Diceros bicornis minor: one gene and its partners. The protein of the gene in region 2 interacts with the protein of the main gene of each other region in a pairwise test. Links are inferred from orthologs where the notes say so. Each region holds a gene or a part of one and is shown on either strand. Other genes may lie near its edges.

Region 1 (8,240 bases), on a different chromosome or scaffold from region 2:
CGAATCTTCTTCAGTCGCTCCAGGTCTTCACGGAGCTTATTGTCCAGACCATTGGCCAGGACCTGGATTTGGAAGAGAAAGTGAGAGATGTGTTTTACCCCCTGACCTCCTATGACTGCCCAATTCCAGCTGGACACCCCGCCTTCCATTTCTCTAACGTCTCCCATCTCAATACACACCTGGCTGTATTTTCCATCCTTCACATCCTTCTGTCTGTTCAAGAACCAGTCTGGGATCTTGTACTGGCGTGGATTCTGCATAATGGTGATCACACGTTCCACCTGGCAGGCAAGAGAAGGGTCAGATCCAGATGCCCCCCTTCCGAGGTAGGCCCAACCCACACCCCCTTCCTTGTCTCACCTCATCCTCAGTGAGCTCTCCTGCCCTCTTGGTGAGGTCGATGTCTGCTTTCCTCAACACCACGTGAGCATATCTTCGCCCCACGCCCTGAGGAGAGGTTTTGGAATTGGGTTTGATTCTGATTTCCTTTATAGCCCCTACTCCAATCAAAAGCATAGAAAGGTAGGGCCTGCAATAACCTAGTGCTTTATACTTTCCGGATTGCCCCTGCCCCGCCCACTTTCCCAGATATGAAGCCTAACCATTACACAGAAAGGAGAAAAAGTTTTGTTCAGGGGCAGGGCTGGACCATGAACAGAGGATAGCTGATAGCCCCTTGAAAGCAGAATCTTTTCTTTTTTTCACAATGCCCAGCATACGCAGTTGTCAATAAATGCTAGCTGCTAGACACTGCAGCAGCACAGAAGAGGGGTACCTTTCAATTTCCTGCTGGAGGACAAAGGGCCTGGCTCTCGAAGCTGATGCAGCATCAAAGCAGCAACCCTTTTAACAGGGTTGAGCAAGGGGTAGGATTGTCAATGGCTCAGGGTCTTTAAGCCTCATGATTCTTTGGTCAGATCACCACATCCCCAGGATCCAAGTTCTCCAAGATCACAAACGATTTTGTTAGTGCCTGGAGATGACCAGGCCCTTGGAAGCTAACTGCCCAAATCAAACTCAAAGGAAACTAATGCTTACACTAGTGGCATCGTATCGACACCAACACTGTTACTCTTTGCCACCGAACTCATGAACCAAAGAGATTTGGACAGTGAAGGATGGTGTGCTGGGTTTAAGTGTCCCTAACCCCCTATATATGTCCACCCGGAAACTCAGAATGTGAACTTGTTTGGAAATAGAATCTTTACAAATATAATTAGTTAAAATGAGGTCGTACTGGATTAGAGTGTACCCTAAATCCAGTGTCCTTACAATAAAACGAGAGGACACACAAGACACAAAGAGAAGGCCACGTGGTAACAGAGGCAAGAGACTGGAGTGATGCAGCTCCAAGACAAGGACACCAAGGAGTGCTGGCAGCCGCCAGAGAAGAGGTGAGATGGATTCCTCGAGCCTTCAGAGCAGCATGGCCCTGCTCACACCTTGACTTGCGATGTGTGGCCTCCAGCACTGAGAGAACAAGTTTCTGTTGTTTTAAGCTAACAAGTCTACGGTAACTTGTTCTAAGAGCCCCAGTAAACTAAAACAGATGGTACTTCCTAGAAATAAGAATGTGACCTAGGAAATCAAATTATCAGGAGGTAGATTCAGAAAAGATTAGGGTCTAAGTCTCTCTCAAATTTAAATATTTACAGAAGCAATACTATGTCAGAAATACATCCTTTAAAACGAGTGGATGGGGAAGGGTGTAGATGAAACAAGATTTCTAATTTTTAGCTAGATGATACATCCATGGTGCCAATAATTCTCTTCCCTCTACTCTTGAATGTTTCAAATTTTCCACCAGCAACTGTTTTAAAAGTTGCTGTCAAACTAAGATTTTGAAAGTCCTGTTTACTGACTCCAGAGATTGGCTGGACAATTTCCTAAGTTAGATCCCCAGATCCACTGTTCTCTGCCCCAAGAACACTCCTGTTCTCTCCATCCAGAAGAGTGCACTACAGGGAACCATCACTTTCTCATCTTCATAGTCCAAGGGTCTGGAACATATAACAGTAGAGTTGATACCAACTTAATATTACTCTTGGAGTATTTAGAGCACTGTTACTCATGGGGGCACTGGCACTTTGGCAGGACAAGAATTCCTTATAAACAAGGCCAGCAGGTATGATGTTCCAGTCATTGTGACCAACTCCAAGCCCCTCCTCCCATGTTTCCAAATAATCCACAGATGGCAGTTACTACCCTGATTTAGAGAAAGGGCAGAAGACCAGCCAGCCTTAAAGAATACTCATAGCAAAGCCTCTAAGTGGAAACAAAACAATGAGGAAGAGATCACGGCATAAAATAATCTTGCAGGATCTGTATTACCTCTACAAAACGCCCTCTTCTGCTTGGGTCAACTTCCACTCCATTCTTCACCCTTCCCTGGCCAATTAACCTTGCTTACCACTTCTTTAATCACATCTTTTCAGGAATCCCCTCCCCACACTCAGCCACCACCCCCAACTTTCTTCCAATTTCCAAGTATTATCTCCCATACCACATCCTTAACAAAAGACCACCTCTACACTTTAGTTCTCTCACCAGAGGAAGAGCTTGCTGCAGTTGCTGGCTCTCCAGGTAACCAGCAAAAACCTCAGTACTCATCTATCTCTAGGAATAACCTTTCCCAGTGAAAAGCAGGGCATCAGGATCCCAAGAGTCTTCTTATCACAGTGCTCATTAAGTACCTGAAACTGCTCTGACAAAATTGTTTTAAGCTCACTACAGAGGTTATGACGTTTAATTAAACTAACAAATACAAAACCAGTTAATTTCAAAGAGGTAGAGAGAAAGGACTTAACAGAAGCATCCTATTAACTATGCTCATCTTTTAGATTCACTATCTCACTTAGGCCTCACAGCAACCCTTGAAAAAGGTACTGTACTTTCCATGGCCTTACTAGTTTCAGAATTACAGAAGGACGCAATCTCCTTATACACCATTTAAGAGCAAATGAAAAGGGCCAGCCCAGTGGCTCAAGCGATTAAGTGCGTGCGCTCCATTCCTGCGGCCCAGGGTTCGCCGGTTCGGATCCCGGGCACGCACCAACACACTGCTCGGCAAGCCATGCTGCGGCAGCATCCCATATAAGGTGGAGGAAGATGGGCACGGATGTTAAGCCAGGGCGAGTCTTCCTCAGCATAAAAAAGGAGGATTGGCAGACGTTAGCACAGGGCTGATCTCACACACACACAAAACAAATGAAAGCTATGCTTCCTGCAGTATAGAATGAAAAATTAAGAAAATCTAATTAATGTTGTAAGTCAAAGCTGGGATTTAGTTTTAAATTAACTTATCTATAAAATATTTATCATGGTTTCCTCTAAATTCTTTGAAACCAGGCCACAGTATCCCTAGTAACATCCACTCCCTAACACTGCATGAGCACCTATCATGCACCAGACGTTGGGGATTCTTCACAAGACAAGCCGATCCCCACCCCCACTGGTAGGAGAGGAAGACGTTCAACCATTTCCACAACTAATCACACCTATTTAGGGGGGGTAGATAGAATAATGTCTCCATCTGGAAGACCAGGAGTTCACTAGGTTGGTGAAGGGAGATCCAACCTTGCACTCAACCAACTTAATTCATGCAACAAGCCAAGTACTAGTTCCTGTTTCTGAAACGGGTACGACTTGCACCTCTGGCATCTGAGTCAACATCCTGCTCCTGATTTAGTGACCCCCCTCTCACCTCCCAAATATACGTTTCTTCACACTTGGAATCTGTTGGCATTTCTACTCACCCCTCAAAATGTACAATTATTCAATTTCCAGGGCATATAAATTTCACAGAAAGGATTACGGGTGTGATGGGGGGCGGGGCAGAAATCTACAATGGACCTCACAAGCTGATTGATGGCTCATGGTCCAGGAAAATTTTAGCAAATTCAGGTAGAACACCAAATCTACTCCCCATCTCCTAGGTGGAATATTTTGGCTTGACCTGAGACTATTCCCTGGCTTTCATACTTACCTTTTAGGGTAAACGTGGTATGGGTTTAAGGGATTTAATCACTCACTCATCCAGTCTCTTTTTTTTTTTAACCCAGTAGCCGAGGGGATCTGGTTGGGACTTATGTTTCCTCTACCCTGCCTCACTAAGACTTAGGTCCTAACAACCCGTTTCACTTATATTGTCTAGTTCTTACCCTGCTTTACCTTAATGGCAGTGATGGCAAAGGCTATTTTCCGCCGCCCATCGATGTTGGTGTTGAGTACTCGCAAAATGTGCTGGAACTTCTCAGGGATCACTAGAGACTGACAGAAATTTGGGGAGAAATCAGACACCGTGAACTACCACCAAACCGTAACCTCAAACAGGAGCGTTACGCTTGTCACACTAGGGGCCACGACTGCCCTTCAGGTTTTCACAACATAGCCAACTGCAGTCCTGCAGACAGCAGGATCACGAAGTGCTCAGGCTGGGGAAAATGCAACCTCTGGGAAGGGGCAAGTCTCCTGCCCGATCCCAAAAGTACTCTGAACGGCGGAGGCCGGAGGTCCCCATACACGCCCAAACTTTTCGCGGCTTCCGAGCGCCCGTGGACGGACTCTTCCTCTGGCCCCACTCCCAAAACTGGACGTCTTTAGGCGTCCCTTCCCAGGGGCACGATCCAAGGCTTCGCGCAGAAAGCTGCAGACCCCCAGAACGGGCCGTTCTCGGCCCCCCGATAGCAGACCTTCCCAGCCCCGGTTCCGATGTCGCCGGATCCCCGCACGGATTCCAGTCTTACCATGGCGGCAGACCTAGCAGCGGCGTGTAGGCCTCCTGTGGAAGAGAGAACGGAAGTGACGTAAAAGCATTATATAGTGACCAGGCGGAAGAGGCGGAGCGATCTTGGTGCAGCGCTTCCGGAAACTGCTTGTGCGCGAGCAAACGCGACTTCTGCGAGTCTGAATTGGGAGCCACAACTTCCGGTGCGTTCTCTCGTTACAGTTCGTCAAGATCTTGGCTGTGAGAGCAGCAAAGGTTCCGGCGTGAGATTGTGTTTAAGACTTCCCATTCCCATTTGCACTCGGATGAAGTGGTTAGAACCGAAAGGGGGAAGCTGGAGTCAAACAATTAAACTCAACTATCTGGGAACGATTTTGCGCTGTGCAAGACGCCCCAGGACTTGTAGTTCCTGTCCCGGGAAGCGACCCGCCGGACTGACAGCTGCCGGAAGTGAGGCTGCGCGGAATGGCCGCCGCCGCGACGATGGCGGCCGCCGCCCGGGAGCTGGTGCTGCGGGCCGGGGCCTCGGATATGGAGGAGGAGGAGGGCCCACTGGTGAGAACGCGGGGCGGTTCCCCTCCGGAGTCTCGGCCGGTCGTCCTCGCGTCAGAAGGGCCTGGGCTGGGTGTGGGACAAGTTGGGAGCTCGGTTGCTACCGTGATGATGCCTGGATTGGCTCCCCATACCTCTCCCTGTCATCGGACCGGAGCCTGAGCGGGGACCAGAATGGCCGAGACTGAGGATCCGAGGGAGCAATTTCAATTAACCTCCAGATTTGGGGGGAGAACAGACAAGCAGTGTAGTATAAAGGTTTAGAACATGCCCTCTGGAGCCAGACGGCCTGGGTTCTAATGCCTGCTCTGCGCTTACACACTGTGTCCTTGGCCGAGTTAACCAGACTTTCTGTGCCATCGCTTTCCACACCTGTAAGGTGAAGAAAATAAGAGCTACCATATAGGGTGTCGGTTAGGATTAGATGAGTGAGTATTTGGAAGATGGCACCGGGCATGCAGGTAAACACTATGTGTTAGCTGACGTTTCGAGAAAGGCTAGGGCTCCCCAGAGGGATTATGATAGAACACCTAAGATAGCAGGAGTCTGGGGATGCTAAATTCAACTGCAAGCTCTGCTCTGTCCTCTGCATCTCCTAATTTTCCTCATCTGGACACCTCCACACTCTTTGTGGGTTGCCTGTCTCCTTGTCATATTCCCTACCCATCAACCCCAAGGAGTAGATTCGGTACAATGTGAGACTCTTAGAATTTTTTGACTCGGTGCCTATGGCATCCTGTAAAAGCCCCGCCGCGAAGGATTGGGGATTATCCCATTATATTTTGTTTTCTCTCCTCCATGTATTCTCTCCCTTTAACCTGTCCCCCTCCAGGGGGGTGGTCCTGGTCTTCAGGAGCCATTGCAACTCGGAGAGTTGGACATCACCTCCGATGAATTCATCCTGGATGAAGTGGACGGTAAGGGATGGCACAGGGTGGATGCAGCGCCTATAATCTGAGAGGCGTGGGGGCTGGAAGTAAAAGGCAGCGATGGTGTGCAGATGTTCAGTGAAGGGAGAGGGAGCTGTGGAGCTGGACCCTTATGATTTACTTCTATTTCCAGTTCACATTCAGGCGAATCTGGAGGATGAGTTAGTGAAGGAAGCTCTTAAAACGGTGAGGCTTTCCACTATACTAATCTCCCACTAATTCCCTCCACCTACCCTCCCCTCAAAGAAAAGAAAAAGAAAACTGTCTCTTGCTCTTATAATGTCACCTTGGTGTCTTCCCCTCTAGTCCTTCGTCATTTCTGTTCTAGTTTCCCTTCACTGTGACTTCCTCCTGACCTGTCGTGTTTACATTCTCCCAGGGTGTGGATCTCCGTCACTATTCAAAGCAGGTTGAGCTGGAGCTTCAGCAGATTGAGCAGAAATCCATTCGAGATTGTATCCTCCAGCAGAGGAAAAGGGGGGTGTTATTAAAACGGATTTTGTGGGATGTGGTGCTGACAGCCCATGGGGCTGGCATCTTCTCTCGGAGGTTTCTGTCACCTCAGGGAGAAAGTGGAGAGGTTGTGTGGGTCTGAGCATCTCCATCTTCACAGTGAGGCCCCTTGACTTTTTGTGGGTCAGATATCCAAGAGAGTGAGAACATAGCCTCGCTGCACAACCAGATCACAGCCTGCGATGCTGTCCTTGAGGTTAGTAACCATGACCTGGGACCCCCAATAACCCTGAACCTGAACCCAGATCATGGTCTCTGGTGCCATTCTCTGGGTCTCCAGCCTCAGGGGGGACAGTTAGAGTCACTTTCAGGATGACCTCAATAGACTTTTTTATTGTTACTACCGTAACTAATGTTATTTGCCGGTGACCTTTGGGGTACCTCCTCCCTCATCACCCACTGCCCTCATGGACTAATAGATACTGGAGACTTAACGAAGAAACTTAGGTGGCCCACTTGTCCCCTACCAACCCTGTGGCCCTCCAGCAACATCTCCTGCCCTCCTGCAGCGCATGGAGCAGATGTTGGGAGCTTTTCAGAGTGACCTCAGCTCCATCAGCTCTGAGATCCGGACACTGCAGGAACAGTCAGGAGCCATGAACATTCGGCTTCGAAACCGCCAGGCAGTTCGGGGGAAACTTGGGGAGCTTGTCGATGGTCTGGTGGTGCCCTCCGCTCTGGTCACGTGAGTCACCAGTTTGAAGGGCCACAATATCTATGGCAGGTAGATGGGCTGGGGTGGCCTGCCCTACTTACCACATGGGTCTCCTGGCTCCAGGTCATCAAGTGCCTTCCAGAAACTGATGAGTGGGTTGACAACTCTTTCTAACACTGATGCATGCTTTAGGCATCAAAGATTAGGAATCACCAGGGTCAGGCATGTAGTGAGGGGGTCCAAGGCTTATGGGGGGGTGGTTCAGGAACAGAAAACTTTGTACCCATGTCCTGACTGTGTGATACAGTGTAAGATGGGAAGAGGAGACAGGCTGGATGTAGGGGGTATGGTTTGGAGTCTAGGGATGTCTGGGTCTCCCTCCTAACCCAGCTCACCCTTTCCTGCTATTCAGGGCAATTCTGGAGGCGCCAGTGACAGAGCCCAGGTTCCTGGAGCAGCTGCAGGAGCTGGATGCCAAGGCGGCCGCAGTCCGGGAGCAGGAGGCCAGAGGCACAGCTGCCTGCGCAGATGTCAGAGGCGTGCTCGACCGGCTCCGGGTCAAGGTGGGGAGTGGGACTGGATACTCTAGAAACTACTAGAACTAGCTTCCCTGAGACCTTCATCCTGGATTTCCCTGGCAGAGCTCATTGTAGCTTGCCCCCAAGAACTTCACCCTGCCTTTACTTCCCATCTCTGGGTTCCCTTGAAAATCTTAAGAAATGCTGAATAGGGATTCTCCACCCTTTCTCCTCCTATATTTAACATTTGTCACTTCCCCCACTGCCTCCCAAATGGTAAGAAGGTTGCAGGTTCATGCCTTTGTTTGGTCCCTCACGTCTAGGCAGTGACGAAAATCCGAGAGTTC
Region 2 (8,176 bases):
GAAACCTTGATTCCCAGCCAGCCTCTAAACCTATTCCTCCTCAAGTCATCACCAATTCAGTAAATGGCATTACCTTCCATGCAGCTGGTCTAACCAGAAACCTGGGAACGAGCCTTCTTGATTTCTTCCTCTTCCTTGGCTTTCACATCCAATCTAACAGTAAGTCCTATTCATTCTAGAGAAATCTGTCCACTTCTTGCCATCTGCCCTGGACTCTAGGTCCAAGCCACTGCCTCTGGCACCTGAATTACTGCAACGGCCTCCTAACCAATCTCCTTACTTCTGCTTTGTCAGACCCTCCAATCATTCTCCACAAAGCCATGAGTCATCTTTTAAAAATGTAAATAGGAACATGTCATATCTCTTAAAAGCCTTTGAGGACCTCCCACTGCACCTAGAATAAACACTTAACCCTTTACCTTGGTCTATAAGGCCCTGAATGATCAGGCCCTGCTTACCTTTCCAACCTCATCTCCTCCCCTCTTTCCTTCTCTCTTTTCCAGCCCTGCTGGCTTTCTTTCAGATACTTAATCACACAAAGCTCTTTCTGTCCCTATCTTAGGGCTTCTGCATACGCTGTTCCCTCTGCCCGGAATGCCTCCCCACCCCCCACTCTTCAAATGGCTGCTCTTTCCCATCTATCAGGCATGGACTTAAATGTTAACTCATTTAAGTAAGTTCCCTCCAACTTCCTTTTTTAATCATAGTAGCCTGTTCATTTCTTTCCCGACATTTCCCATCTTATAATCATTTGACTGTTGATTTTTTATTGTCTAAGTTCCCCAGCAGACTGGAAGCTCTGTGATGATGTGGACTACGTCTGCTTCATTCACCACTGAATAGTCAGTGACTATTAATAGTCAGTGACTTACTAAATGCGGAAAATTTGTTGAAAAAGAGAAGGCCTCCCTGTTGGGAGAGTCAGTGAAATTTTAACAGCGAATTATAGAATGTTGCTTTGCCCAAGTCATCATCAGTCACACAACAAGGCCTATGATATGTCCTTGATATGTCCAACTGAGGCTAGATTCAAGGAACATGCCTCAGGGCCCAATACGGGCAGAGAGTCCTGCAACGGTGTGTGTGTGTGTGTGTGTGTGTGTGTGTGTGTCTGTGTGTGTGGAGTGGGGAGGGAGTTGTCTTTGGGAAACCAAAGGACTGAAAGGGGCCTGGGACAGTTGGTTCTCTAATCAGTCTTGTGTAGTGGCTACAGCATCTGAGTTTACTACATTTTATAGATGACAAAGTTGAGACAAATTAACCTTTAAAAGTCAAGGTGGAGACCCAAGGCAAACTGTGAAGAAGGCAAAGCTTGGCTCCTGCACTCTCTTTCCTGTCTTTCAGTGCATCTTCCCCCAGCCCCAGCGTCCTCTGGCTATCAGGCTTACTGTGGCAGCTTATCCAGGTTTGCTTTTGGATCCTTCAAGTGTGGTGGTCTCAGAACACTGACAAACTCACAAGACTTAGCTTTGTTTTTGGGGGGTAAGATCCTGTCCCTTTGAAATTAGCTCATTATATAAACTAGTCTCTCCTAAGGTAATAAGTTTCCAATACAAATTTGCAGTTTAGCAAGGCACTCTATACGTGGAACTAGAGAAATGACTGACTCCTCTACCACAGTAAGCCAAAGGAGAATGTAATCTTTGGGCAAGTTGTTCAAATCACAGGCCCACTGGCAGTTCTTATTATTACTAATTTATACAAACTGATCTTTACATATGACACACATTCTCTCATTTGGTTCTCATAACATCCCAGTGAGACAAGAAAGAGAGACAATTATTATAGTTCTCTTACACCTAGGGAAACTGAGATTGAAGGAAGTTACATCTTAATATCATCTGGCAAATGGCAGAGAATGGATCCTAATCCAGGACTCCAAATTCTTTTCCTCCATTCAAATCTTTTTCCTCCATGACTTTGCTCCCTTTGTTGGCTACTAAAACTTGTGTTGAATGGAAACTTTATCATGAATGAAAAAGGTCCTAGGACTCTGAGCCTGGTTCAGGTTCAGGGTCTCAACCTGCCTTACTCTAAATAACCTCAAGTAGTTTATGTCTGTTGCTGAAATATTGACATTAAAAGGTGTTGCTACAGATTTTCTCATTAACAGTTTTAGTGTAAAGAGATTAGAATTCCAAAATATCCAGTCATTTCTATTAGCCCTAGACCATAATGTTTTTTTTTGTATGAGAAGCTTTGGACAAACAGTATTAAGAATCTTTATCTGGGGGTAAGGAGGTTTATATCTGCAGATTGCTAGTTAAAATTCAAGGTTCCAATCTTTTAAGTGAATAGAGCAGATGGCAGACTCGGCCCTCTACCTAGCAGACAGGTGTTCACAACACATTTGACACTGAAAATTGATTAGTGAAAAGGCTCTCACTCGAGCCTGAAGAGCTGGTTAGGAAACATCGGAAACTCAGTAATTTGCTTCTCTGGATGCTTAACTACATCTGTGTCTGATTTACCCACTGAACTCCTGATGGTTTTAAACACTGCCTCTCATGTATTGTGTTAAGATGCACTAATAACCAAGACTTTAGGTGACAACAAAACACAGCTGACAGCACAGCTGATTCACCTGATTTTTTTTATGAGTTATCCACTATGGGGTAGATCAGTTTTCCTTAAGTTAAAAAGGAAATATCTACTCCCAACAGATGCTAGAGCATAAGGAGTAAAGTTCTGTATTTTGCACTCTCTAGAAATAAAGTAAATGCTCTCTCAACAATCTCTTTGGTGAAAATTAAAAGACTTTTCAAAGCCTCGGTTTTGAGTATTTTCCGCGGGGGCAGAAAGAAGGTGGTGGGCAAGGATTGCCGGCTAGGGAGAATCTGGACAGGGCGCCGCGTGTCCCAGCCCGTCCTTCAGCCCAGCGCGGACGCGGACCAGCCCTCAGCCGGCCCCCAGCCCTGGCCCACATCCCGCCCCTGCATTACCGGCGCCCGCGCCGGCCGCACCGCCTCCTCGTCTTCTTCCTCTTCCTCGTCCTCCTCCTCCAAGGCCGCCGCCGCCGCCGCCAGGGCCTCTAAGGGGTCTTCGCGTTCATACTGGGCGACCCGCGCTCCGGTGTTGAGATTTCCCAGGGTTTGGAGACTGCAGGCCACCGGCTTCGCCCCTGAATGGGAGGCGGCCATCACCTCGCCGCCGAGGCCTGAGCGCCCGCGCTGGCCCGGGGCGGGGAAGCTGGCGTGGCCTCAGGCGACCCGGCGGCTCCTTGCTTGAGGAGGGCGGTTGCGAGGGGCGCGGTAACTAGGGACGCTACAGGGGCCGCGAGGGGCCAAAAGTCACTCAAACTCTTCTCCCGCTGCCGGAGACCTAAGACCGGCGCTTCCTGGATAACAGGAGTCATTACTCAGTCTTTGCTGGTTTAGAGGGTCGGCTGGCGGAACAGAGCACCTCTTCCCCAGTTTCTCGCCTCACCGCCTAAACGTAGACTTCTCACATGAAACAGATCGTTTTGTGCAAAAAAGAGCGCATGAAATAACATGTTAGGAGGAGATGGCGGCGGCAGGAGAAAGCAGAGGATGCTATTGTGTGGTGATCTCAGAACAGCGGCAAGGTTTGCATTCTGCTACCTAACATGGTTCCCCCGGGAGCCAGAGAATGGGAAGGAGTACATTTTTCTCTGATTGACTTGAGAGCTAGCAGAAATCGACCAATCCGAAAGAGGCTGCTAGTTATCCCACTCGTGTTCTTCTTGCCCTGACCAATAAAAGCCAGAGTTCGGTGGAGCCTGGCCCACCCACCAGTGAGTGACAGTACAGTTGTATGAACTGGGCGTTTGCTGCTTGGGTTCACCAGCTTTATAGTAGTGGGGTTGGAGGGTGCAAGCGCTCACCAGTAACCACAGACACACTCCATTTCCACCTCACCCTACCACCATTTCCCGCGCGAGATTTGGGTGCTTCAAATGGCGCCTCCCCGCTAGGCCGCGTGCCTGTAGGAGAGGCCTAGCCTTAAAAGAGCAGATGAGGTGCAGTCTCAGCCACCTGCTACCTAAGCTCCTGCTTTCTGAGGCTGAGGCTGCTGCAACCTCCCCCTCTCTATTCTTCAGCCTCCTTGTGCCCCCGGACCTACAACCCTACAACCAGCCATTGCCACCATAAAGTTAGGGTATGCAGCATGCGTACCCCGTCTGGAACCCATCTCTGAGGTCTGAGCCTTTCTTGTTTCTAAGCCTTTCTTGTTCGCGGGTCTGGAGTGTGAGCACCTGCAAAATCCCCTACTCTCCCACTTCCTTCAGGCTGCTCTTTGTTTTTGCTGAGATTTGCTTCGCACGCTGGAACAGATGCTGGCTGGATTCTGAACAGAAGCCAGAGCTGGAAGCCCATGAGGTATGGACACCCCAAGTGACCAGAGTAGGGACTTCCGGTCTTTCACATGCAGCTGGTTCTGTGGCTGCATGTGCCCCTCTTGGGATTAGGTACAAACCTGACCCCAAAACAGCAATAGAGGTCTACATGCTGAAGCACTGCAAATGGAAGATTAGGCAAGAATAGAATAGAAAAGAAGGAATGAGTGTCGAGGACACGATGTGTGTGTATGTAGAAGAGCAGAAAAGTTTCCACTCACCAGCAATATTCTAAATTTGCAGATATCTGATAACATAGCCTCAAAGTATACAGAACAGAAATGGACAGATCCACAAGAAGAAAATGACACATCTTACATCATTATAGGAAGAATTGTTTTTGCGCTTTTGAATTGAGATGGAACATATACACTGAAATGAATAGATCTTAAAAGTATAGATAGATGTATTTTGACAAATGCATACACTTATGAAATCATACCCTTATTAAGATATAGAACATTTCCATCATCTCAGAAATTCTCCTTGTACCCCTTCCCAGTCTGTTCCCCATTCATCCCCTTGACTGTTCTAGAACTTCATATAAATGGAATCATACCATATGTACTCTTTTTGCTCAGCATACTGTTATTTTTCTTTGAGATTCATCCATGTTGTTGTATATATGAGTAGTCTGTTTCTTGTTAATTGCTGAATAGAATTCTTTGCTTAAAGAGATAATAATCTTCCAATACTGGAAGAATTTTCCTCATTTTTTGGTGCTATTCATAATGTAACAGACAAGACATACTCATATTTAATCTGCACTATTAACGTTGTCTTTATCACTATCTTAAATTTATCCATTCACCTGTTGATGGTCATTTGGGTTGTTTCCATTTTTTGGCTGTCAATTTGGGTCCTTCAGGAAGCAGACACCAAGAAGGAATTAGAAGTGCAAGAGATTTACTGGGCAAAATTCCTGTGAAAGAAAAAGGAAGAGGAGCAGGAAAGTCTTCAGGCCAACATACGATCTGACACCTTAGAAAGGAGAGAGGGAAGGGAAAATGTTGTGTAGGAGGAGGTTGAAACTGCAGTGCAGCTCTGAGAAAGTCTCAGCTAGTTAAAAAGAGAGCTCCAGTGCTAAGATTGCTCATAGAGGAGTTCTGCGATGGGCAGAAATGGCCAGACCCTACCAGCCCTACCATCTCAATCATTGGCTAGAGCTCCCTGGGAAGAACATGTTCTCAGATGGAACACTGTGAAAAATCCTCAAGTGCTGGTATGCTGGTAAATGGTTACTGAGAGACTCTCTGGGGGAAAGTGTGTGTGTGTGTTTGTGTGTGTGATGACACACTTATTGTAAATTTTAGTGATATAAAGGATTGTAGCATACAACTTAGAAATATCAAAATATACTCTTTACTGTGACTTCCTCATAAACAATTGATTCTCCCAGAATACTTTCATTAGTTTTTGCTGAACTCTTGTATCTGAAGCCAGCCTGTGGTTGCAGTTGATTAACAATGTAGTTCCAGCATGGATATTGGTTGATATTTTTGCTTATATTAATAAGATGAAAGTGAAGTAATCAAAATGTATGTCAGAATTTCACTTGTTTTTCAATATCGTGAGCAACTTCTTCACTGAAATAAATACTTTTCTAATATTGAAAGATTTCCTTAATTTTTTGTGCTATTCACAATGTAGTGGCTACAGGCACCACACAATTTTAAGTTTTTTTCCTGCATTATGAACATTTTCCCTGTCAATCACTTTAAGTTTAAAAGTCCAATTTATAGCATTTGCTGATTTACATGGTGTCAATACTCCCACCAAGGCCAATTCCAAGCTACCAATGTGACATCACTGAACATGAACTTGGGGAAGGACGTCCAGTAGCACACCATTATATAGTTTTTCACTGCAGAGATATAGTAGGTGCAAATAAGCTCAAGAGCATATAAATATAAGTAAAATATGGTAACAGAAGAGGAGGTAAAGAGTTTTGAGAAATTATCTTTGTTTTGAACATTATTTAATTGTAATTTAGCAAAACTAATTTTTAATAATGGCTGTGTTTAACAAATTAGTAATGGCTGAAAATTTTACAATCAACTCTCTCAAGTCCGTACCAGCAGGCTCCAGCACACTGCTGTATCGATTGACTGCACTCCTCAGAGCAGATCCTGTCTTTAGGGGACATCCAAGCAGCTCAGCTATATGGCTGCCACATTTGCTACTGTGAATAAAGCAGCTGTGAACAGTCCTGTGGAAGTCTTTGATACATTTGTGTACATATGAAGGGGTATAGAAGATTTGAACAGCACAATTAACAATTAGATAATACATAGCTATTGGATGATAACATAGCTAATATATATATATTAAAAAAACACAATTGGAGAGTATACATTACTTTAGGAACACATGGAACATTATAAAATGTAACCATAGTACTAAGCCATAAAGCTAGCATCAACATATTTCAAAGGATTAACATCAAACAATCAACATTCTCTGATCACTTAATGCAATTAAGTTAGAGAATAATTAAAGAATAACTAGAAAAGCCTTTTCAGTTTGGAAACTTTAAAATACTTCTAAAAAACAATTCATAGGTTACAGAAGAACTCATGACAGAAATTATAAAATCTGTAGAATAATTATATTTAAATTACATATGAAATAAATATAGTTGCTTAGAAACCACTTAAAATATACATTAAATATAAATTGTATATTTTATTTATATATTAATATGTAGTATGATAATACATAACATAATATTATTATATAATTATACATTAACTTGTAATAATTTTTTGTGTGTGAGGAGATCAGCCCTGTGCTAACATCTGCCAATCCTCCTCTTTTTTTTGGCGAGGAAGACTGGCCTTGGGCTAACATCCGTCCCCATCTTCCTCTACTTTATATGGGACGCCGCCACAGCGTGGCTTGCCAAGCAGTGCGTTGGTGCGCGCCCGGGATCCAAACTGGCGAACCCCGGGCTGCTGCAGCGGAGCGCGCGCACTTAACCGCTTGCGCCATCGGGCCGGCCCCTTAACTTGTAATAATTTATTAATATATTTAATAACATATATTTTAAGTGGTTTTTAAGCCACTAAGTTTTGGAGTAATTTTTTAATGCAGAAGTAAATAATTTGAACACTTGGTTATCAGTATAGCTTCTAGAATGCTTCAGATGATTCTAATGTGTTACAGGTTGGAGAACCAAGGCTCTAATTCTTCTCTAGGATACCTGACTATTTCCTTAGTTCCATTTGCTCTCTGGTCCTCTTGCTCCCTGCTGCAGTAGCAGAGTCTACATCTCTTGTGCTAAAGCAACATTGACTACACCCATGGAGGCTCTGGCTCCTTACACCACTTCCAGACTCAGATGAAGCACTGAACCAGTGGCCCAAGATCTGGCTTCCCCAGCATCTGACTGGAGGCACTGGGCAAGAATCAACACCCTGGGACAAGCGTTGACCAATGAGAGAGACGAGAAATTGGCAAATTAATTTCTTTCCTTTACCCTTAGATGGACAATTCTAAGTCACAATGACTCTATGGCGGCTGTCTGGACAAGTCCTTCATGAACAGGAAACTGAACTTAATTTGCTTTAAAGCTATGGCCAGGTCAGTAATTCATACCTTGTATTTATTTTCCACCTTTGGCTGTCTCACTTATATATCTATAGAATAATATATTACTATGAGTTAATATATATTTATATAGTATAATTTATTTATTTATTTATTTATTTTTTTACCCCAAAGCCCCAGTAGATAGTTGTATGTTATAGCTGCACATCCTTCTAGTTGCTGTATGTGGGACGTGGCCTCAGCATGGCCGGAGAAGCGGTGCGTCAGTGC
Region 3 (7,724 bases), on a different chromosome or scaffold from region 2:
GGTATTTTATGCTTCTGTATAATTTTTCACTCAGTGTCCAGAGCTGACTGGATATGCATCCCTCTTTTCTTTTCTCACTTCTTACCTCTCCTTTTTCCCCCAGTTTTAAGGGATGGGAGAAAGCAGGAGCATCAGGGACAGCTCAGAGAAGACTCAAATAGGTCTCTAATTAGTCTTGAGGTAAAGGTGGTAAAAAGCAAAGAAAGTATGTTTAGAGATTTGAAATTTAAACCCAAAACACTAGAGCGCACACTACCTAATACTACTATGTATTTATACTTCTCCATATAGCCCATGTCAGTTAATGATTTCACCACCACCAAAGGGCAAAAGATTGAATAGTCATTTTTGAGCAGTCATTTTTCAACATAGCAGGGGTTAGCAAACTATGAAACAAGGAAGAATGAAAGAAAAGAAAAGGAGAGAAAGAAGGAAGGAGGGAAGAAGAAAAGGAAGGAAAGCAAAGGAAGGGAGGGAGGAAACGAAGGAAGGAAGAAAATATAGTTGGCTCTCCATATCTGCAGGTTCCGTATCCACGGATTCAACCGATACCCAGTGGAAAGGCCTCTGATGGTTGCATCTGTACTGTCATTATTCCCTAAACAACACAGTATAACAACTCTTTACATAGCATTTACACTGTATTAGGTATTATAAGTAATCTAGAAATGATCTAAAGTATATGGTAAGATGTCTGTAGGTTGTATGCAAATACTATGCCATTTTACATAAGGGACTTGAGCATCTGCAGATTTTGGTATCCACAGGAGTCCTGGACCCAATCCCCGCATACCGAGGGAGGACTGTACAAAAGAGACTGTATACAGCCTGCAAAGCCTAAAACACAGGCTTAGCTTCACACAGTACTGTGTTAACTGAAACTCTACAAAGCAAGGAATGCCTATATTTACTATCTGGCCCTTTACAGAAAATTTGGTGACCCCTGCTATAGAGGCCATCCAAATGGCTAATAAACAGATGAACAGGTGTTAAATGTTATTAGTTATTAAGGAAAATTAGGGGAAAAAAACCCAATGCAATATCACTATATACCCACCAGAATGGCTAAAATGAAAAAAACAATGGTAAGTGTTGCAAGCATTTGGAGGAGCCAGAATTCTCAAACACTGCTATTAAGAGTGTTAACTGACACAACTAATTTGAAAAACTTTTTGGTACTGTATACCAGAAATACCTATCTGCATATCCTATAATATAGCCATTTCACTAGTAGATATATATACAACAGAAATGTATACACATGTTCACCAAAATACTTATAAAAATGTTCATAGAAGCCCTATCGGTAATAGCCAAAACCTGGAAGAATACTACGCAGCATGAGAACAAATCACTACTACATAACTCATACATACTACATAACTATAAATCTCACAAACACAGTACTAAGCAAACGTGAGACACGAAAGACTATACACCATATGATTCCATTTATATAAAACCAATAATAGGTAAATTCATAGATCATGTTACAAATAGAGATAGTGGGGCCGGCCCAGTAGCGTAGTGGTTAAGTTTGGGCACTCTGCTTCAGGGGCTGGGGTTCGCAGGTTCCATCTCCGGCTCGGACCATGCTGTGGCGGTGTCCCACATACAAAATAGAGGAAGACTGGCATGGATGTTAGCTCAGGGAGAATCTTCCTCAAGCAAAAAGAGGAAGATTGGCAACAGATGTTAGCTCAGGGCAAATCTTCCTCACAAATAAAAAAAAAAGAAAAAAGAAATGGAGATAGTGGTTACCTTTGGAAAGGGGGCACAAAGTAGGACTTCTAGGATGCAAGCAATGCTTTCTTGATCCAGGGACTGGATACACGGGTACGTACACTTTGTAAAAAATTCAGTGAGCTGTACAATTACAATTCATGCACTTTTCTGTATGTCTATTATACTTTAAAAATTAACACACTAAATAGATTTCTATAAACTCTATGCCTTTTTAGGAAAATTGTGCACATCTGCCGTTCACTTTTCTAATTTGCCATCATTACCCCTCAGCAATGAGATATCTTAATTCTTGTTACCTTATATAGAAAAGTCAGCTTTGTTTTAATTAATTTTCTTGGTATACAATTGCATAGGATATCCAAATGATTATATAACCATCATTTTAGGTTCCACACTCGTTCCCAAGGAGAAACTCCGAAAGGCGAATAACTTGTGATAGTATGTTAAAGTTATCTGGGGAAGAAAAATAAACCCTCCTTGAAATGTAGTTTTGTTTAGGCTTAGCTTTGTCTACTAACACTGTGATTTAATCTGCATAAAATGTTCAAAGGAGCTTTTCAAAAAGCTTGTTCTTGTGGAAAGCTGTTTCTTTCCACCACCCTAATAATGCTGCTATCTTGTGTTTATCCAGTTCCTTCCATCCATGGAGCTTAAAGTACTTCACAAATACTGTTGGGTGGTGTCACCTTCCAGTTAGAAAATTGGCGGCCCTAGACATTGCGAACCAAAAGCATTCTAACAGTATCTTTCTAAAGCACAGCTCAGCGTGCCGCCGAAACTTACAAGGGTGAGAACTGAAATACAAAGCGGTTAAGCGACTCTCAAGGGCACAGAGCCAACCACAGGTTGAGCCTGGACCTGAATCCTCTAACTCACCGCGACTTAAGGGAAAAAGAAACAAAAACCTACAGCCTTGAATAAATGTCCAGCTGCTGAACGCTTGTAGTGGGAAACTGGGGAGTTTGCCGAAATCGTGCCCAGAAAGAGGACTGAGAACCCCACGACGCTGACCTTCGAGGGAGCCCCATCACTCCCGGCCGCACGGGGCCAGTACCCACCGGGCGCAGACTCCGCGCGGCCCTTCTCCTTCTCCAGGGAGGCTGCGGCCGGAAATTCCAGGCCTGGGGTAAGCCCACCCCGACTTTTCTCCGGTCGCCCAAGCCTCCCAGCCTCCCGGTTTACCTGAGACGCGCCGCGCACCGACCCGGCAGCCAACTCTGCGCGCCCGCCCGGAGTTTCTCAGGCCCAACGCGCAGCCCCCACGCCAGCCAATCGCCGCGCGCTCGGAGCCTCCCGGCCGGGCTCGCCAGAGCGAGGAGGTGCGCGCGCCCGCAAACGAGCAGGCGGGCGCGGCGGGGACGCGAGCCAGCCGCACGCCGCGCGCGGGGGCCCACGGGGAACGGAGGCGGAACGGGCGCGGGACGCGGCAGGCGGCGCGCACCGGGCATGCGCGTGCCGCGCCGCCAGGGCCGCGGGGCGGGGCCTCCGGGCGAGGGAGCGAGCTTGGAAGTCGTCGCAGGAGTTTGGGGAAGAAGGGAGGCGGTCTTAGTGTAACGCGGCTGCTCCGGCAGGGCGGAACGCTTGTCTGAAACGAAGGGCGCGTTCTCCGAGAGCAAATGTTGCCCGGACAAAACCCAGTCTGGTTAAAGGAGGGAAAACGCGGTTAAAATGCGTCTTGTGGCTCGACTTGGGCGTTGTCGAGTCTCCACGGAGCTGGGGGAATTGTGGTTTCCCGTCTTGTGTGTGGTTTGGAGTGAGAGGAGGAGTGGGGATGCGACGCCGGGAGAGGACAGCGGCGTGTTGCCAAGTGATGGTTGAATGAAAAGGGCCGAAGTGAACTCCAGTTGGATGAGCAGAAAGCGGTACCTAGCTCCTGGCCAAAGAGCGAGCGTTTCGTACTAAAACTTGCAGGCGGTGACCTCTTTGACTTAAGTACTCGAAAGAGATCTGGATGTTCACTGTATAGATTCTTTAAGACAAGATGTTGAACCTTCCAGAATTAAACAAAAAAAATAAGCCCTCAATTTGTGTACCTCCGTGTTGAAACAAGAACGGAATGGCATAATTGCTAGTAATTTGAATGTGATTTTCTTGTTTCAGAGATCAGTATTGCGTCTATAAATGTCACGTTAACTCCTTCAGATACAAATATTTGTTTAGCACCTACTGTGTGCCAGGTACTCTTCTGGGTGTTGAATAATAAGCAACAATGGTTTTTTACATATCTCCAGAGACTAGGCATAATATGAAGTGTTGACGGTTTCCCAAGTTAATGGTTAAAGTTAATGAAAGGAAGTTACATTTAGTAAGTGTGAAAAAGAGCAGGAAAAAAGACATGAAAAATTGGATGTAGATTAGTTGGAACAAAATAGGTTATAATAGTCACAAACTCTTAGTTATTATATTGTAATGAATGCACAGTGCTCTAAAGAGGTTTGTTATAGATTCAGCTTTGAAATGCATTTTTTTACTTCAGTCAAGGTCTGAATCAGATATTTGTGAATACAAAGTACCATAAAAATATGAGACAAAAAGAGGAGTGGAATACTTTTGTCAGAATAGATGGGAAGGGCAATCCAATCAGGAAGAATGACTTTGGAAAGGTTTAGGGCCAGCTCAACTTCTATGTAAAAGGAGGAAAAATTGCTTTTTCTGGCTAAGGAATAGCAAGAAATAAGGGGGGATGGTGAACACTATATTGAGATAATTCAAACCAAATAATTAATTAATAGGTTAAATTTAGAGAAAGTCATACTATTTTTCTTTGGGTAAAGGTACATTAACCCTAGTTTTTTAAAGCTCATCTGGATGCTGAAAGTCTCCAGGGTAAAGAGAAAATCCATGTTTTCTTTCAGTAACCTGTTTTTTTCTTCCACCTTTTTTATTCAATGAGCTCAAACATTAGGCCTTTTCTCCCTAGTCCTTCCTCCAGCTTTCCTGAGGTAACTCTTTTTTTTTTTTTTAATTTTTTGTTTATTGCAGTAACATTGGTTTATGACATTGTAAAAATTTCAGGTGTACATCATTGTACTTCTATTTCTGCATAGATTACATCATGTTCACCACCAAAATACTAATTACAACCCATCACCACACACATGTACCGAATTATCCCTTTCACCCTCCTCCCTCCCCCCTTCCCCTCTGGTAACCACCAATCCAATCTCTGTCCCTATGTGTTTGTTTATTTTAATGCTGTTTTCCTAAACTTTTCAGACCACAACAGCTAATTTTTTCCCAACCCTCTTCCACCACCACCATCACTCACATATACATTTCTTCATTCTCTGTCCTGCTAACAGTTGCTAGTCTACAAGAAATGAGAGAGACCAATTGGAGCTTTCTTTTCTCTTCTCAAGCTAATTATCAAAGATGTTGTCTGTGCACTCATCCGTCCTATAAGTTGGGCTTTTACAGAAATATGGACGTAGGATGAGAGGAAAAAGAAAATGAATCTCTTTTCATTACAGGGAGCAAAGGAATGCAAGATGTTGAATACTCTTGTGGATACATATGTTATCAGCCTCCCACAATGTGCCAGGCACTACAATGAGTTCTAGAAAATAAAGTAATGAATAAAAATTATGCACATTAGTAGCTGAGAATGCCATGTGTATTAGTTGGGGTTCTCCAGAGAAACAGAAACAACAAGATTTATATATTTATATATAAAGAGAGATTTTTATTCTAAGGGGTATCTCGTTTTAATTTGCAATTCCCTGATGTTACATAATGTTCAGCATCTTTTCATATGCTTATTTGCCATCTATATATCTTCACTGATGTGATGTCTATTCAGATCTTTGCCTATTTTTTATTTTTTGGTCCATAAGTGGGTGGTTTGTGTCCTTATTATTGAGTTTTAAGATTTCTTTGTATGTTTTGGATACATATCTTTTATCAGATATGTGTTTTGCAAATATTATCTCCAAGTCTGTGGCTAGTCCTCATTTTCTTAAGAGTGTCTTTAACAGAGCAGAAATTTTTAATATTAATGAAGACCAACTTCCCAATTTTTTCCTTCATGGATTGTGCTTTTGATGTGTACCTAAAAAGTCATCACCGGCGGCCGGCCCAGTGGCGCAAGTGGTTAAGTGTGCGCACTCCGCTGCGGTGGCCTGGGTTTCGCCGGTTCGGATCCCGGGCGTGCACCAATGCACCACTTGGCAAGCCATGCTGTGGTGGCGTCCCATATAAAGTGGAGGAAGATGGGCACGGATGTTAGCCCAGGGCCAGTCTTCCTCAGCAAAAAAAGAGGGGATTGGCAGATGTTAGCACAGGGCTGATCTCCTCACCAAAAAAAAAAAAAAGTCATCACCAAATCTAAGGTCACCTAGATTTTCACCTATGTTATCTTATAGAAGATTAATCATGTTGCATTTTACATTTAGGTCTATGACCCATTTTGAGTTAATTTTTGTGTAAGATGTACAGTCTGTGCCTAGATTTATTTTGTGCATGTGGATGTCCAGTTGTTCCAGCACCATCTGATGAAAAGACTATCCTTTCTCCATTGAATTGCCTTTACTCCTTTGTCAAAGATCACTTGACTATATTTGTGTAGGTCCATTTCTGGGCTTTTTATTCTATTTATCTCTTCTTTGACCAGTACCACACTGTCTTGATTATTGTAGCTTTATAGTAAGTCTTAAAGTTGGGTAGTGTCAATCCTCTGACTTTGTTCTTCTCCTTCAACATTTTATGGGCTATTTGGTCTTTTGCCTCTCCATATAAACTTTAGAATCAGTATTTCATTATCCACAGAAAAAAACTTGTTTCGATTTTGGTTGGGACTGCATTGAATCTATAGATCAAGTTGGCAAGAATTGATATCTTGACAATATTGAGGCTTATTTTCCATATACATGTAATATCTCTGCATTTATTTAAATCTTCTTTGATATTTTGCATCATAGTTTTGTAATTTTCTTCATATAGCTCTTGTCCACTTTTAGAGTTATACCTAAGTATTGTTTTTGGTCTAATGTAAATGGTATTGTATTTTTAATTTCAAATTTCAATGGTTCATGGCTGGTATATATGAAAGCAATTGACTTTTGTATATTAACTTTGTCTCCTGCAACTTTGCTGTAATCACTTATTAGTTCCAGGAGGAGGTTTTCTTTGCTGATTTTTTTTGGATTTTTCTGTATAGACAATCATGTCATCTGTGAACAAAGACAGTTTTATTTCTTCCTTCTCAATCTGTATACTTTCATGCTTCATTTTCAGTTATCATATATGTAATATTTTAAATATTGAACTCAATTCTCTCCTGATCTCAGTGTCCATTACCCTGTCCTCCACTATTCTCTTTCTTATGCACTTAATAACAGAACTTCAAAATACATAAAGCAAAATGTGTTACAACTGCAGAGAGAAATCCACAATTAATATAAAATTATAGTCAGAGATTTCAAACTGATCTCTCAATAATTGATAGAACAAGCAGACACAAAATCAGTAAAGGTATATAAGACTTAAAAAACACTATCAACCAACTTATCTTATTGACATTTATAGAACACTCTACCTATCAACAGCAGAATACACATTCTTTTCAGATCTGCATGGAATATTTACCAAAACACACCATCATCTAGGCCATAAAACAAATATAAATTCATTTAACAGGATTCAAATCTGGAGTGACATCAGCAATATGGCAGAATAGGCAGCCTCAGATCCTCCTTCTCCCACAGAGACACAAATTTAACAACAATACATGGACCAATTGCCTTTGTGAGAAAAGCTGAAACCAGTTAAGTGGTTCTTGCACCCAAGGCAAGTGTGAAACCAACTTCATCAAAGGCCAGTAGGAAAATTCAAGGCACTCACTTGCAAGTGACCCACTCCCCAGCATGACTTGATTGGGAAGAAACCCTCAACTCCCAGTTTCTCCCTGTGGAGAGAAAGGAGTGGAATGTGTGTCCAGTGTTCTGACTTTTCAAGGGATTGCCTGAGGGACCAGTTTCTAT
Region 4 (8,077 bases), on a different chromosome or scaffold from region 2:
AAGATATTCAGCTTCTCAGTTTGGCCAACAGCCCTGAGGTAGCTTTGCCAGAATATGTATTTAGCACTAGTTTGCAGCAATAACTAAAAATAGTTTGACCAAATGCTAGTGTTATTAATCTGTCCTGGAGTCTCTCTGATGTTAAGGTCATGTGTAAAAACAGAACTCATTTACTCCTCAAAAACCACAGCTTTCAATGGATTCAGGTAAAACATACAATCGGATCAGAGAAACTTAGCCTAGCAATGATCTTTCCTGGTGGCTGAAGGTTCTGTTTAGAAGAAGGGTGTCTCTGCGAGAATAGACTTCTTTACCCATTCTAGTGCTGGATTTAAGCATCCACTTAAATGACACAGCTCTAGAGCCTTCGACTGATAAAGGGAAGTTTGTTTTTTATTTTCTCTTTAAGTCACAACAGTTTTCATTGCCAAAGGAATAGGACATCTTGGGTTGGTGCTGTTAATAGGATAGATTTTGGAGATGGAATTTCCCCTGCCATAAAGACACAATTATCATAATTCCAAGCTGAAATTGGAAATATCAGATTCTGTGGACGCAACACCCAACCTTAAAGGAGTATCCAAAAAACTTACTGCTCTGAGGATGCTTTTGCTCTGTGTAGTCCAATATACAGGTTGAAAAGGCAAGGGGCCACTGACCCAGGTGGAGAGTGGAGTATGTAGCCCACCTGCTACTTCTCAACCAGGAAATGAGTTTTATTTTTAATAAAACTGATAGGCAGGCTTGTGATAGCTGAAATAAACCACCAGTGCTGGGTGGTGTGTGTACACATATTAGCAAAACAAACAGAGAAATCTGTGCTAACTCAAGATAAGGGTGGATAAATATAGGAAAACCTAACACCCGACTACAGCAACATATAATTCAGTCTTAAATGACAGCAACGGAGAAATTCACTTTTAAGAAACCCCACCTCGATGGGGTTAGAGCTGGCTTCTCGCACTCCCCTCTGGGGGCTTCACTGGCTTTTCTGAGAGCCCAAGAGCTGCAGATTCATTTAAAAGAGACAAAATAGAAGGCTGACTTTCTTAACTCACTCACTCCAACGGGTACCTGACCCCTTCTCTTCTGGACCCCCACCACTGCCTCTCATCTTTTAGTAACCGCCCCCTCCTTTCTCTGGCTAGAGAACAGCTGATAGAAATAGATGCTTTTTTTTCATATCAAAGGCAGCCCGGAGCCGCCTCAGCCTTGCCCCAGCCTCAGACACAAAAAGCTTTTGATGTTTATAATTGTGAGGCTTTTTGCAGCTGCACTTTATCAAGCCTGCAGCGGCGGGGCTTGGAGGGCCTCGGAGAGCCAGAAGGTGGCGGCGAAGTCACCTTGGGAAGAGAAGAGAGTCAAAGGGAGGAAGGTAGAGGGGCTGACCCCGGCAGGACCAGAGGGCGTGCCCCTGCTCTGGGGTCAGTGAGGAAAGGGAAGGGAGATCGGAAGGAACCCCGGCCAGAGGGAAGCGGTGCCCGAGGACCCCTGGGCAACCCTAGTCGGTGATCAGCCGACCTGGGCAGGGGAGGAGGGTGCCCTTCGCAGTGTGACTGGAAGCTTCGCCTTCCAGGCTTGCTTCCTTCCGCCTGCCCCTGGGGTTGCTCTCTGCTCAGGCTAGCCTGAGCGCAGCTCGGAGGCGCTCTCCTCGCTCCACATCGGCGCCCCCACCTGCCGGGTGCCCCCGCCCGCCGAGCGCACGCCCAGGAGGGCGGGCCCGGAGCTGAGCGCAGCCGCCCGCCGCTGGAGAGTGCTGGGAGCCCAGGAAACGAGCAAGGCCTTTCTGGGCGCTGTGGGCTGCAAGTCACTCCCTGAGCCTCCTGGGCCACAAAGCGGGACTTGCCCGCCTTGCTCCCCGGCGCTCCAGGGAAGGGAGGCTCCAGCACGCGGCACTGCGCTCCAGGCCCCTCGCCGGTCCCAGGTAGCTCCTGGCGCGCTCCGGGCTGGGCTGGGCTGGGCCGGGCCGGGCCTGGCCGCGGAGAGGGGGCCTCGTAGCCCCTTCCCCAGGGCGCGGTCTCCTCCTCCTCCTCGCCAGCTGCACCGCCAGCTCCTATTGTTCGCCCCGCCCGCCTGGCGGCGTCCCGGCGCTGCTCCCTGGGCCTCGCAGGCGCACCTACCTTCTGCTGCCGGCGAGCCATGTCGGTGGGCTGCTTGGCGTTGAAGGGGTAGGCGATGCAGCGCATCACGAACACATAGAGCTGCAGCCTCTTCTTCCTCTCCTCCTCCTCCTTCTGCAGCCGCTCCAACTCTTCTTTCTCCTTTTCGCTCACCACCGACGGGCTGGGGCTGGAGGGCCGGCCGCCACCGGCGCGGCTGCTGGGCTGCAGACCACCGGCCCCGCCGCCGCCGCTCGCGCCGCTGGCCCCGCCACCACCGGCTCCCACTCCGGCCCCGGCGCCAGCACCGCCGCCGCCTCCGAGCCCGGCGCCGCCGCCCGAGCCTTCGCTGGTGCGGCTGGGAGACAGGCGCGCGCCGGACGCGGCCGAGCCAAGCACCTCCTTGCCACTCTCCTCCTCCACGATCTCATCCGATTCCTCTTCGCTGGACGAAGGGTCCAGCATGGTGGCGTTTGGGGAAGGGGGTCCTTGGAGCCCCCGGCTTGGGGTGCAAAAGGTGGGGGGCGCCGGAGGCAGCTGGGAGTCGGCTCTCCCGGATGGGCTCTTCTCCCGAATTCGGGGAGCGAGCGCGCTGCTGCTCAGTCTCGGCCGCCGCGACTGCTTCTTCCGCCTGGCGATCTGGAGCTGGGCTCAGACCCAGGAGCGAGGGGAGGAGGGACAGGGAGAGGTGTGTCCGTGGACCCGAGGTGGGCAAGGGGGAGAATCAGTTGCGAGCCCCAAGCCCGCAGCCGGATGCCATCTGCAGCCGCTGAAGAAGGCGCCTCCAGAAAAGATGCCGAGTGTTGCAAGCTGTCGATGCAGCCAAGAGCCGAAGAGGCATCTTGCCGATTGGGGAGGGAGCGGCGCTTACGTGTTTATTGGCTTAACTCTCCCGTGTCCGCGGCGTAAAGGGTGGCTGCAGAGGGCTGGAGGGGGGAGAGCGCGGAGCCTCCGCAAAGTCTCAGAGCTTCGGTACTGACCCGAACGCCTTCCCACCCCCATCAGCCCCTCCCTTTTGTGGATAATTTCCTCCTTGATCCCCAGGTCTCACTGCCTGGACCTCTCTCCTCCTCCCGCAGACAAAAAGTTCTTGGGGGAGGAAGAAATAGACAAACCAGTGATGACTTTTTGTCAGCGTAGAGTGGACTGTCTGTCTGGAGACGCTAAATCTAGAGGTCTCACTAAGAGGAAGTCGGCGAGATCCCGTACGGGAAAGCAAGAGTGTATCTCCTGTCCCCAGGTTTCTTCACACCTGGGGCGTGGGGGCAGTGGGGCTGGGCAGAGTGTTTATCCCACCTGTGTAAACTCTGATTCCAGCAATTTACTTTACATACGTCCACTCTCATTAAAATAAAAGTGAATCAAATTTTGAGCGGATTGATGTATCGACCATGCAGCTCAACTATTTGAGTAGAACCCTCGCCCTTGTCTCCTCCGCAAAAGCTATTATGAACATTCTTCAATTCCAAGAACTGGGAATACTTTCTGCTGAGGTAAGCCTACCAGAGAAATAGAAGGGTTTCTCATTGCTCAGCCCTTCCTCCATTCTGGCTCGCTGGGAGATCTGGGTGGAGGAGGGGGGACCTCCAGATCAGACAAAGACACCCCAAGAACTCAGCGGCATCACCATCTAATGCGTTGACTCTGTTGCACTGTCTTCATCTCTGCTCCTCGGTTATCTATTAATTCAAAGCAGCAGATGGTGCCTTCCTTTCCCCTGCTTTTTTCACTTAGGCCAATAAACCCGGCGGACCGGGGAGCTGGCCAGCGTGCTGAATCTAATCAGCGACCCGCAGATGGATTGAAAACAAACCGACCCCCGCCACCCTTGGATCTTAGGCTATCTAGAGACCTCTCTCCACCTCCCCGCCACCCTATCTCCTATATTTATTTTCTAATGCTCTAGTTATCCATAGATACTCGTAGGATTTATTGTAAAAGTGTAGCATGAATTTAAAGTTTACATCACGTCTGTCTTTAGGTATTTTCAAATTTACCATGAGTTTTACTGTAGGCTTTGGTATTCAAGTGAAGCTTTCTAGCTAATCTGTTTGAGAGCTAAAAATGAACTTAAAACAACATCTCACTTCACATTAACTCCAAAAATCCTATTTGATTTCTTAAATTAAGTAATATATGTATGGCTTATATTTGACTTCACCACCATACTCACCTGAAGGACATAACTTCTGTGGCCATCATGCATTCTGTATCAATTTAAATAATCCAGCAATGTGAAAATTGTTACAATTTAGCAATCTTCACTTTTTAATTCTTCTAAAGGAGTAAAAGATGTTCAAATTATGTTGTACTCGTTTCCCTGGAACAGAAAATACAGTAGGCCAGTCAGTCAATTAATCAACAGCCCTTCAGCACCTTTTTGTGGAGTGAGTGGAATGAACATGAAGTTCTAGGTGCTTGTGGTGGATGGAATTTTTGGAAGACATTCTCTTAAAGACTCTAATCTCCTTTGGGAGATACAACAGATACACGTGAAAAAGGTTGACAGCACTTATTTCAAGGCAACATACCAACAAATCCAAGTTAGTAAACCCCTAAAAGCTGGCTTGAATGAAGCAGTTGGGAATGGAAGAGAATCATATATTTCTCAAAGAGAGTTAAATTTTAAAGGAAGGAATCATATGAATGGATGATGAAAAGGGAAGATATTGTAAGTGATAAAGTGATTTGCAAAGCCACAGTGATAAGACAAGGGACCAAGTAAGGTATAAGTGTTGTGGAGATGGTGTGTGGATAGGTAAGGGTGAATCGAGGAGGAAAAAAAGAGCTGAAATAATAATCCATTTGGCCAAATGGGGAGATCATGTTTAGGACACAAAGAAATGAATTATTAGCTAGGGAGCATGTGGTTTGCAGAGGAGGTGCTCTTCAAGGCCAGATAAAGGCCATTTACTAATTAAATATTTCTTCTCTAAGCAAGGTTAGGCATTTAAGTATTATCACATTAGGCATTGGTAGAAGAGTGACCGTGAATTCTGTCTTCAGAACCATTTGGAATTTCTCAATCGCTATAATAAAGATTTGTTTAGTTTTGTATTTTTACAAATTCCTTTGTAGTTATGTGGCGTTTTTTTCCCCAGTTATACTCATTAAAACATAAAATCAGTATCTGCCTTTGGTTAATCATATAAACCTATGATGGGTATTAAATATAACATTGCTCAGGTAAACCTACACTCTTCTCATTCCGCCCATGAGTGTTCAATCAAAGAGACTTAAGCAGATTTTCCTAGAAATACTTATAATTTTTTTCAAATGGTGTGCATTTCTGTCTTTTAAAATGTACATCCTCTCAAAGACATCTTTTACCTTAGCTAAAAGTCAATCCAGTATCCTTGGAGATATTATAAGTCTTTGCTACTGGTGAAAATAAGAAATGTCAACCAGAACTCCTTAGGCATCTTAACCAGGAGTTATGGCTTTCCTAGATGCAAATTTTGATGAACAAGGAAGAAAATAACCCCAGAACACATCCACAGGCTCTTAACATGTGTTTATCTTTTGTTAACATCCATATTCCTATTTTAAAGAGTACAATTCTACCATAGGTTCTGATACACGTAAGTATTTATATCCTCAAACAAGCTATTTTAGGTACTTGCTTGTTTGCCCCCACCTCCAGTTCTGCTTTGTAGGAAACTTGAATAACCCCAAGGTGATGGAATAAATTTTAGTCAGCCATCTGGAGACTATATCGTGAGTAGAAGTTTTAACATTGAATTTTTAAATCCCACCCACTAAAAGCAAAGTCTAGGGGAAATGGAAATGACTGAGATGCTAAACCAGGGTTTTCTAGTCTAGGCTTAGATTATCTCCGTTCTCCTCCAAAGCATTTGCTGTCATTGTGTAAAAGGCCACAAGTAGGAGGGAATATCTGACGTGTTGGCAATTGATAGACACTTTGATGAAAAACAATCGCTGTTTATGTCACTCATATAACATGTTTCAATCAAATAAAACTGAGTTTAATGCCCATTTTAATGTTTTTGTGTGTTTGTTACTAGAAGATAGTTTGACTAAGTAATTTTTTTATCTCACAATAAATTTCATAGTATCTAAATGTAATCATCTCATCCAATCAACATTTTTTTAATTTTAAGAATAGCTCACAGGCACCAAAAAGGAAAAATTTGAACCTTATGGTATGCCTATGTCAATTTAAGTGCTTGGACTCTCAACCCAAGAAGTTCTATCTCTGGCACCTAATAGCAGAGTTATTCTGAGAAAATTATTTAATGACTCAAACTCAGTTTCCTCATCTGTAAAATGAGCGATAGTAGCACTCACTTCCCTTGGAATGACAATAAAATTAAATTAAATGTTGTATTAAAAGTGTTTTTCAATAGGGGCCGGCCCGGTGGCGCAAGCGGTTAGGTGCGCGTGCTCCGCTGCGGTGGCCCGGGGTTCGCTGGCCCGGATCCCGGGCGCGCACCCGACGCACTGCTTGGTAAGCCATGCTGTGGCGGCGTCCCATATGAAGTGGAGGAGGATGGGCGCGGATGTTGGCCCAGGGCCGTCTTCCTCAGCAAAAAAAGAGGAGGATTGGCGGATGTTAGCTCAGGGCTGATCTCCTCACAAAAAAAAAAAAAAAAGGTGTTTTTCAATAGATTTTAGTTTTAAACATTTTTTCAACTGGTGGAAGAAGGACTTGTAATAAATGAAATGACCAGAAATTGGATACAAATAATTGGACAGAGAAACAACATTAAAAAGATCAAATAATCCAGAAATAGATCCTTGAATAATAGAATATTTGCTTATTTATTTAATTGATCCCTGTCTTATTTTAAATAGTATTTTATGGGACTTATGGTTTATTTTACTTGAGAAATCTACCCTTCATCATTACTCTTTATCATATGATAATTCTTGCTAAAGTAAAATGGAGTGAGTTAGGATGGAATTAAAGGATAATCATAAGACTGAAAATAATAGAATCAAACCACACAAAAACATCTTCTTTCAGTCCAGGCAACAAAACATGTTTTGCAATGATAAATAATACTACTTGCAGGAACTCGTCTTGGAAAACCACCTTGTTAATTAAGAAGATGAAAAAGAAAAATGGAACGATGTATTTTACAATAAATAGTTAACTTGAATTCTGAAAACCAACTATTCACAAGGGTAATCACATTTCTGGTGTATACAACTTCTTTTCATAGAAGTAGGAGCTAGATGTGGTACAGATTGAAATGCAGTTTATGCTGGTCTTTACAGGGACAAAGTGGAGGATAGAATCTTTTGCCTTGACTCTGGGATACAGCAACATGCCAGCAAATAAACGGGAAAAAAGCATCCACGTAGCTGTTTCCACATGATAAGATATTAGGTAGATAATTTGCCTAATTAGCCCAATTCTTCAATTGGGATTACTTTGGTAAATGTTGCTACCATTATATCTTCACCTTCTCAAAAGAATTTTCTAGGTTGATTATCTGGGTTGTATTTAATTGTTTTTACAAACTACACTGGCTTTACACTGAGAGGCTTTCTGAGATTGTAGATAAGAATGACTGAAGTCAGGGTATTTTCACATTAACAAGTTTGTTTTCAATTTTAAATAAAATGGTGAGTTCCTTCAATTCAGGCTACTCTAAAACATGGTTCTTTTGGCTATATAATCTTTTGGAGAAAGAAAGTGAGTAGGAAAAAGAGGCTTGATGAATAAAGGGAAAGTACATGAAAATGTACGGATGGGTCCCATCAAGTGGTAGATCTGGGTCGGGGTCAATAGAGGTAGACACATCGGGAGAAATGCTCTAAACCAGGTCTAGTCACTTACATGCCAAATCAAACTAGCAAAACGGAAGTTGATAGATTAAGGCCTGGGCTGTGCTCCTAAGAGTGTCCTTCTTTCTCTTCCTCTTCTCCTAAGGGTGACACTGACTCTTCTTCCATAGTAGAGTCAACTCCTCCAGTCCATTGTCCATAAGAATGCCACCAGTCTTCTCTTG

The links.
Region 1: the proteins of FAM161A (region 2) and VPS52 interact in binary tests that used the Homo sapiens proteins (3 or more experiments, as listed by UniProt). The link is inferred for Diceros bicornis minor from reciprocal best matches to the Homo sapiens genes FAM161A and VPS52.
Region 3: the proteins of FAM161A (region 2) and MIPOL1 interact in binary tests that used the Homo sapiens proteins (3 or more experiments, as listed by UniProt). The two-hybrid records come from large-scale screens. The link is inferred for Diceros bicornis minor from reciprocal best matches to the Homo sapiens genes FAM161A and MIPOL1.
Region 4: the proteins of FAM161A (region 2) and CADPS interact in a two-hybrid assay, tested with the Homo sapiens proteins (2 studies listed by BioGRID). The two-hybrid records come from large-scale screens. The link is inferred for Diceros bicornis minor from reciprocal best matches to the Homo sapiens genes FAM161A and CADPS.

Annotation. Positions count from the first base shown.
Region 1 is NC_080753.1:31,184,297-31,192,536, forward strand, and holds the start of VPS52 (vacuolar protein sorting-associated protein 52 homolog), read left to right. Parts: upstream 1-4,926; 5' UTR 4,927-5,191; coding exon 5,192-5,281; intron 5,282-6,110; coding exon 6,111-6,195; intron 6,196-6,340; coding exon 6,341-6,393; intron 6,394-6,586; coding exon 6,587-6,662; intron 6,663-6,848; coding exon 6,849-6,916; intron 6,917-7,229; coding exon 7,230-7,405; intron 7,406-7,787; coding exon 7,788-7,938; intron 7,939-8,216; coding exon 8,217-8,240. Other genes in the region: RPS18 (small ribosomal subunit protein uS13), read right to left, coding at 1-62, 180-281, 361-447, 4,171-4,269, 4,692-4,748. UniProt on the Homo sapiens protein: Acts as a component of the GARP complex that is involved in retrograde transport from early and late endosomes to the trans-Golgi network (TGN).
Region 2 is NC_080751.1:25,472,258-25,480,433, reverse strand, and holds the start of FAM161A (protein FAM161A), read right to left. Parts: upstream 3,287-8,176; 5' UTR 3,141-3,286; coding exon 2,943-3,140; intron 1-2,942. UniProt on the Homo sapiens protein: Involved in ciliogenesis.
Region 3 is NC_080744.1:12,475,380-12,483,103, forward strand, and holds the start of MIPOL1 (mirror-image polydactyly gene 1 protein), read right to left. Parts: upstream 3,121-7,724; 5' UTR 2,929-3,120; intron 2,895-2,928; exon of another isoform or gene 2,656-2,894; intron 2,619-2,655; exon of another isoform or gene 2,043-2,618; intron 1-2,042.
Region 4 is NC_080741.1:62,199,018-62,207,094, forward strand, and holds the start of CADPS (calcium-dependent secretion activator 1), read right to left. Parts: upstream 3,074-8,077; 5' UTR 2,565-3,073; coding exon 2,121-2,564; intron 1-2,120.